2 linked regions of the Bombyx mori genome follow. The protein of the gene in region 2 interacts with the protein of the main gene of each other region in a pairwise test. Links are inferred from orthologs where the notes say so. Each region holds a gene or a part of one and is shown on either strand. Other genes may lie near its edges. The genes, in order: DNA replication complex GINS protein PSF1 and DNA replication complex GINS protein SLD5.

Region 1 (3,893 bases), on a different chromosome or scaffold from region 2:
CTTCGATAAAGCGGCACGACACGAGAACCCTCTCATCGTGGCCGCCAGTAACTACATTCCCGATCCTGCGGACAGAATGGAAAGCAGTCGACGTCGCCCAAAACACGTCATCTCGGATCGTCCCGATCCACTAACGGTGCTTTTAGGTACTTCAAGCACCGGTCACCGTTCTCGTCGAACCCGTCGAAGGGCTCGACGAGTAAATTAACTCCCAGACACAGCCCACTGAGTTTCTCGCCGTATCTTCTCAGTGGGTCGCGTTTCCGATCCGGTGGTAGATTCTGCGAAGCACGGCTCTTGCTAGGGTTCGTGTTAGCAACGTCATCAGGTTTGAGCCCTCAAGGCTACCATCATAGGTAGGAAAAAAAAAAAAAAAAAACTGCGCTGTATCTTTTTTGAGAAAATAGTTTTTTTCAATGCCAGCTCATTAACAGGGCACGTAAATATCAAAAACGCAAATGCTGCCACACACCTAAACAAAAGTTCTAAGTCTGAAGTCTGATATTAGGAGACCTCGGGGCTGATGATGATATTGATTGTTGCATCATTTGATTTGACTACAGCAAGCATTATATTCTTTAGGCCACTATGACTGCTCTTTCACCCATCAGGGATAGTAAAAAAAATGGACACACACTTGCTTTATTAGGAGGTGCAAATCTAATCAAGTCAAATCACTAAGCTTATGGTAAAAATAATCTTCTCATAAAATTTATTTCCATACAGACATCAAACATTATTTTTCACAATATTATTTAAAACATAAAATGGTCAAAAATTCACTATTGATAAAATAAATTCACATTATTTGTTTCAGAATACCCTGTCGTATTAAAGTCTGACATTCCGAAGTAGGAAGATAATGTCTGCTATTCTTCTTAAGCATAACCACATCACCATCTTCAAGTTCTAATTTACCATAATCCACAACACAAAGCACTTCGATGAACAATGATTTAGGGGGCTTTAAATTTTCAGTCAAGTCTATGCCACTGTATCCTATATCTTGGCCTAAAGATCTCATATACAAAGCAAGATTTCCAGAGTATTTTGAAAACCATTGATATTCATCATCAGAAAGCAATTCTCTGATATCTGGAGGTAGTACTGCACCAAATTCCCAACGTAATGTCTTAATTTTTTTCATTCTGTTGTAGAGATAGGCTAATATACACCTTTTATTGCGTTCAAGGGCAGAATGTCTTACTTGAACTGTGGTCCACAATGATCTGTTTTCTGTTGTAGCATTACTAAAAATAGTAATTCAATTAATACAAGCGGTAATCATAAAACAGTTTGTTGTTATCTTCTTCTTCTATAAATGAACTTGATGAGCAATTGAACTACATATTTTTGAAATTTAAATTAAAATGGACTAATAGCAGGTAACCTTATTACAACACCACATGAGACTCAAGTGCATGAAAATATTAACCCCTTTGCACTAAATGACGTTTTCGTTTGTGCGGACCAGCAACTCAGACCGATTTTGGCCAAATTAGAGAAACATTTTAAAAGTACTTTAAGATCAACAAACAAACACACATTTCTCTATTTTTTTTATATACCAAAAACAATAATTAGTACTATTATTAAAAAACAACTACACTGTAAAAAAACTCAATAAGCTGAGCTAAGATTTGGTTAGAAATTGAAGCCAAGCCTGTCCACTAAAGTATTTTTAAGCAGATACATAACCGTAGTGCTGTAACAAATCTGCTGGGTGAGATATCTGTGCTACTCAAGCACAACCAGTAAAGCTATCAAATCTGCTGGGCAAGTTATCCAAACTGCTTGAATGTGAAGAGTTATAAAACAAAAAAGTCATAAAACTTTTTTTTGCATAATTGGGTGAGAGATCTCAGGGCTACCTCAAATCCCATGAAGCTAGCATAACCCCTCGAGGTTAGTAGCAATAGATTGACAAAAAAAAACAAAAATAGACCTTCCTGGAGTTACAAGGTTACCTGAGCACTTTTGCATCACATGAAACAGAATAGGAGGTTACAGAATAGAAGTGATCATAGCAAATCTTGCATATTGAACAATAACTACTTGCAGTTATATTAGTAGAAAACCAGTGACTTACGCATCATTCATGTTCAATTTAAATAATAAATGCATTTCTTCTATTATTTGGCGTATTTTTTCATCCTGTAACATGTGAAATACTATGTACTTTATAAGATTAAAAGACACAAAAATAATAATAGGCGGTGCTATAACAATAATTTAATATACTTGTCACTTCTAAATGGATTTCTGACTTTATAGTGCATATGCATAGACAAACAGAATAGATGACAACCGGATAAAATCTTGGTTTCGGTATTAAATAGTAACTTAAAGCTTTCATTAGATATAACAAGTTTATTCTAATTCCAATCCCATACCTAGATGGGCACATCCAACTTACATTATATTGATCTATTGTGTCAGGATTTCTATCTACTTCTTTAATTAGTTCTATAACTTTTTCTGCGAACATTGTGTGTTACTTATTTACTTAACAATGAGAGAGATAACAAACAAAATACTTTAATAATTTAGATAAAAACATTTTTGGCATTGGCGCGAAAGTTGTTATTAATTTGATGAGTGACAGCTCAAGACTGTGACAGATAGTAAATTTGACATTTTATGATCGGATACGCATCATTTTTGGATGAGTTCGAAAATCACAGAAGCCTTGATCTTTAAATCTATAATACCAAAACCTAATCTTAAGATATTAAAATTTTCTAGAAGTGGGAGCTAAGTCATACAAGTAACTTTTTACAGATAATCACTTAGTAGCAATACAGCCAATAATAATCTCACTCTCCTTATCGGGTCGACCATCAGATCCAATTACTCTTGCAAAGACGCTTTCAACTTTAACATTAGGAGCAGACTTAGGGACCCTGATAACCGTACTCGTCGAACTCAACAAAGTGTTCGACGTGCAAACTAACCTCCCGGTGCCACCTCTGGGACATGATGATTTCATCATTCCCGCTGAATTGCGCCTCCTTATCAAGCGGATAAAGAGGCGCAAGGCATTGTGTGAGGACGGTATTCTCACCCTTGCATTTTTCCACTTTCTAGAATCAGTCGTGTCTTTTAAGACACGGCTGTTTAATTACATTCTGTCTACAGGATATTTCCCGGGAATTTAGAAGGACAGAAGACAGCCCTCCAATTATCGTCCGATTACCCTGTTGTCGTATGTGGGCAAGTTGTTCGAGCGGCTGCTGGTGAGAAGAGTGTCTCCGCACATCCTTCTCAGACCCGAGCAATTCTGGATACGTAGCAGTCACTCAACAACGCTGCAATTGGTCTGCGTTATGCACCTTTTGACGGTCCAACGCACGCCAGTACATGGCGGCAGTATTTCTCGATTTCGAGAAGGCCTTCAACCGTGTCTGGCGTGCGGGGCTTATCTGCAAGTTGGTGCAGAACACGGACTTCCAGCACGCCTACGTGCGACTACTGGGGTCGTACCTGGAGGGCAGAACTCTTTTTGTCGCGGTCAAGAGCGCTAAATCGTGGATGCGCCCAGCCACAGCTGGGGTTCCCCAAGGAGGTATCCTGTCACCGATCCTCTACGCTCTCTACACCAACGACATTCCCAATGTCGTTACGTTGTGTTAACACACAGAAATAATAAGCAGTAACATATCTATGACGGCGTTAACGTTACTTCTGTTATACAGCACGTGCAATAGGAGTGAGTCATACACAAGCCAGGTGCGCCGGCCGTGTCACTCCACTCGTAAAACAGCACGTGCAACAGGAGTGACTCATAGATAAGCCAGGTGCCCCGGCCGACTGCGTTTGCTCGGTGCACTTACTATATCCTTGTTACATTGTGTGATTAAGTGACTGTTTTACGTACTGGTTAAGGTTGGATA
Region 2 (4,559 bases):
ATTTAAAATTCTATGACATTCCCTAGTTTTCTGAGGAAATGCATAAACTTAGTATTTATATAGATAGCATTACTGCAATTACAAACCTACGAAATTAATAAATTTGACTTTACTGGTGTAAGTATATGGTTGGGCTACATACCTACAATAAAATTTAGACTTTAAATTGAAATGTTAAGGTAATTACAAGCATTTTTACATTACAGCTTTATCATTTAACATCTTACTTACACTTTCACTAGTGGTACGGTGTCTTGTGAGCCTGCATGATGTGTACCACCACCCTGCCTATTTCTGCCATGAAGCAGTAATGCGTTTTGGTTTAAGAGTTGGGGCAGCCATTAACTGAGTCATAAAACGGAGACTTAGAACTCTTGCCTCAAGGTTTTAATTAAAAAAAATAATAATTTTAATTATAGCACAACTTTGCACTTTAGATTAGTTTAAAAGTATAAGATTTTAACTCCTATGGTAAATATCATTCACTGTGTTTGATTTTTTTTTATTTCTGAGATTGCTACATAATGTATGTTCAGAAGTGTTGTATGTGTCAGACATACACAATGTTAAATGTTCACCAAAATCTATAAATACTATAAAAAGTGAATACCTCCTGAGATATGAGGTCTAAGTCTCCATTGTCTAGTATGGGGACTGTCCCCATTCTTCAAACTTCATGACTGCTTTATGGCAGAGACTAATTAATTGGTGACACATTCCCATATGGCCTACCACCAATAATTATGGGATATTATTTTTATTTTGGCAAGTTTATTGTTTCCATAGTGTTATTTCTTTTTTGTGGATTAATCAAACAGAATTAGATTCAATTTAAGACATATATAATCAAATCATTCAATATACCATAATATTATTATTTAAGTCATGATAACTTCAATGATATAGGTGATATCCTGTGGTACAATAGTCAAGGTCATTAAACCAACAAGGGTATTGCTCTATCTATCAAAGTATAACAAAAGAAAACCTATAATGTGTTTCAGTTGTGAGAAAATCAATAACAAACCTTCTAAGTCAATTTCTTCATCTTCACCAGTCAAGTCTTCTAATACAACCCCATTAATGGTTTCATTGGCTTTAAGGAATACATGCGTTTGTAAATTAGGATGTTCTGCCATTTTGTTCATTTCAAAGACTTGCATATTACCAGGCATTTTATTTAATACCACATTTTTCATATGATTTTCCATGTTCAAAACATATTCTTGAGCATATTTATATTCTGATGGTGTTAGGTAATTAGTATCAGTTTCTATTCTTTGTCTTTCTTGGTTTAGTATTGGAATGCAATATTTTTCAATCTTATTCAGTCTAGTTTTAAGATAATTACAAATAATAAATTTAATTCTGCTAATCTCCATTTTGTGTATAGAAGTTCTCAAATCAGTTTTTGAAAGTTTATTTATGTTTCTTTCCATGTGTTGTATTTGACCTAACATACATTCTACCATGTCATTTTGATGAGGGAGTATTTCTGGGGACAATCTTTCATTTTGCCAAGCACTTTGTAGTGTTTTTAAAACAGTCTCAGCTGTTACTTCTTCTTCATCATCACTGAACTGCAACTCTTCGGTTGACTCCATATTCTTCTAAATTATATATACCCACAGAATTCTAGTGCAACTTTAGATTGTCACTGAATGATATTATTCTAGCTTTCACGACTCGAATTTGAGTTCTGGTGTTTTTTAGGTTCTAAAGAGCTTTTTTTACCAATTCATTATAAATTTAAAGAGTATATAATCGCATTCATGTTTCACTACATTACAATCATAGTTTTTTTTTCTTTTATCTTTTTCTTTTATTAAAATTTTCTGTATTTTTGTCTTGCTTTCTGTACTAAACAAATTGTTACTTTATGACATACCTCAATTGTCATTAATTTTTTTTTTCTTCTGAATAGCACGGGATTTTATTTCTACTACCTTTATTGAAATAATAAGTTTATGGTAAAATAATGTAATTTTTTTTCTCACAGATTTTTTTGCTTACTATTTGTTTAAAACTTTGTTGGTTTGAACTAGAGATGGCGTTAACGGTTGAATTTATTTATCTGTTAACTGGTAATTGATAAAAAAAATTACCGATATTTTTATTGGTTGAAAATACCGGTAAATCTTTTCGTTGAAAAATTAATTTTGCTAATGTTAAACTTGAATGGTACTAGCACTTTTCGAAATGATCCCATATTTCTGCATTGCGTTTCGGCATTTTAAATTAGATATACAATTTAAAAATCCACAACAACAAAGTAAGCAAAGTCTCAAACACACAAAAACAAAGTCAAAACACACAAACACAAAGTACAAATCTCTTAAAATACAAAAACACAACTTTACCAAAATAATAGAAAAGATGCACTGAGCCACCAAAATGTCAAGTACCAAACAAAATATTACGTTTAAAAAATCAACCAATCACGTCATCTTCGCGTTCGGTAAAAATATCGTTTCATTTCAATTTTTTAACGAAAAAAATTATCATTAACTGTAAAATACACCAACTTAAATATTGTGCTTTATTTTGAGGGGTATAGAGCATACAATGAAATCATAAAATTCAATATTTTTTACATGATAAGTTGAAGACATCTGCAAGGCGAAAATGAATCTTACGTGTTGAAATAAAGTTGAAACTTGCATAAATATAATTTCCAATAATTGCCTATGCCACTACACGCAGTGTGTTTGGTAAACGGTATTTTTAACCGTTTTGGGTAATTTTATTTATCGAATAGAAGTGTTAATTTTTTTTACCGGTAAATTTATTGGTTATTGGTTATATTAGCCACCTCTAGTTTGAACCAATGTTTTATCTATTTCTATCATAAGTAATACTACGAAGAGTGAGTGAGCAGCTATGAGTCTCGATGATATTTAATATCAAGTTCGATTTCTACAAATGATAATGTTCCTGTATGTTAAGTATGTTTCTCCACTGTGTTCTTGAACAAAGTTTAGTAGTGAAGGAATAACATCGAACGCTGTAATAAAATTAGTATAAGCCGCCATACCATCTTGTTTATTTCTTGTGCAAACCAATCATCATCCTGGTTTGAAGGGTTGAATGGTTAATATTTTTAAATATTTTTTTATTGCTTCATGTTGTGGAAGTCTCAGTAGTAATGGGTGCTCGAGCCATCCTAGTAGGCTTACAGCAAGCCTTATCTTACTAGTAAAATTAGGGATGAAGAGCAAGAAAACGAAAAAAGTCGATATTCAGAAGAGAAAAGCCAGTGCTGACACTATGAAAGAGTGCGTCGCCTCCCACTTAAAACTACATATTATTTTCAAAACTCGTCTGAATATAGCTTTCAGAAATACTTTGCTATAGAGTTCATCCTAGAATTATTTCTAGAAATGAGCTGTGGATGGAACAATGAACTCTACTTCGGACATTACTACTGAAAGTTGTTGTACATGTGCTTGGTACAAGCACACTGACCATCCCGTAAATACATTTACATTATTCATTCTAAATTTTACTTAAAATAGAGCCGTGGGCCGCGGGACACACCTAGTTTGTTTTAAACAATTAATTGCAGTTTTTGTATCGAATAATGTACGTACGTACTAGCGAAGACATTTAATCTTGTTAGCCACATAAACCTGCTTCTTTGAAGTCGCATAACTACATTACCTCAGTAATACAGAGCTGTACTTACAAATATCTGTACTTACAAATAGCTGTACTTTGCAAATATCAACCGTACTATAACGGCGGCACTTAAACATAGTTTATTTTATAAATAACTAAATTTATTACTAAATTTCAAAATTCTGCTGACCGTTTCCTTGAAATTAGTCCACATTAAGCACTTTGCATCTTAAAATTTAGTTTTTTCGTTCCAAAATTTACGTATGTGCTCCATTGCTGCTCTTTTTGGAATCACCCAGATCTTTTGACACAAGTAGACTTTAATCAAAAATGGCTTAGAATCGATTCTTAATATGCAGCTAAACGAGCTAACTTGGACCCATGCATCCCTACCCATCCGTTTTGGTGGTTTAGGGACTCGCAAAATTTCTCGTGTCGCTTTACCAGCCTTCCTATCTTTTGTCCATAGTTCAGCAAATCTCATAAGTAAAAAACTTTGAGATTGCTGGCTTGGAAGAAGCTAGAAACGCTTTCTTAATTGGATGCCCACGTCAAAATTTTCCAGTTTCTCTAAATTCACAGAAGAGCTGGGACGACATAAACTGCAAATTGACATATGACAATCTTTTGAGCTGTAGTACAGGTTCGGCGCGTGCTAGGCTTTTGGCTGTGGGTGCGCACGAGGCCGGCTACTGGATTCACGCGTACCCTTCGTCAAATACAGGAACATTTCTTGAGCCTGACACGCTCCGAATCGCAACCTGTGTACGGCTCGGGGTTCCGGTCTGTGTTCCTCATAAATGTCCCTGTGGCAGTGATGTCGACAAGCTAGGACATCACGGACTGTCTTGCCAAAAAAGTGCAGACCGCTTCTCGCGACATGCCGCACTTAATTATATCATACGCCGGTCCCTTGCCACTGCCAACGTGCCAAGTCTACT

The links.
Region 1: the proteins of DNA replication complex GINS protein SLD5 (region 2) and DNA replication complex GINS protein PSF1 interact in a two-hybrid assay, tested with the Drosophila melanogaster proteins (2 studies listed by BioGRID). The link is inferred for Bombyx mori from reciprocal best matches to the Drosophila melanogaster genes Sld5 and Psf1.

The regions. Positions count from the first base shown.
Region 1 is NC_085118.1:17,160,872-17,164,764, forward strand, and holds DNA replication complex GINS protein PSF1, read right to left. Parts: upstream 2,619-3,893; 5' UTR 2,489-2,618; coding exon 2,417-2,488; intron 2,155-2,416; coding exon 2,090-2,154; intron 1,251-2,089; coding exon 800-1,250; 3' UTR 684-799; downstream 1-683.
Region 2 is NC_085121.1:9,245,054-9,249,612, reverse strand, and holds the start of DNA replication complex GINS protein SLD5, read right to left. Parts: upstream 2,802-4,559; 5' UTR 1,605-2,801; coding exon 1,028-1,604; intron 346-1,027; coding exon of another isoform or gene 323-345; exon of another isoform or gene 1-322. Other genes in the region: opsin-1, read left to right, coding at 2,939-2,945.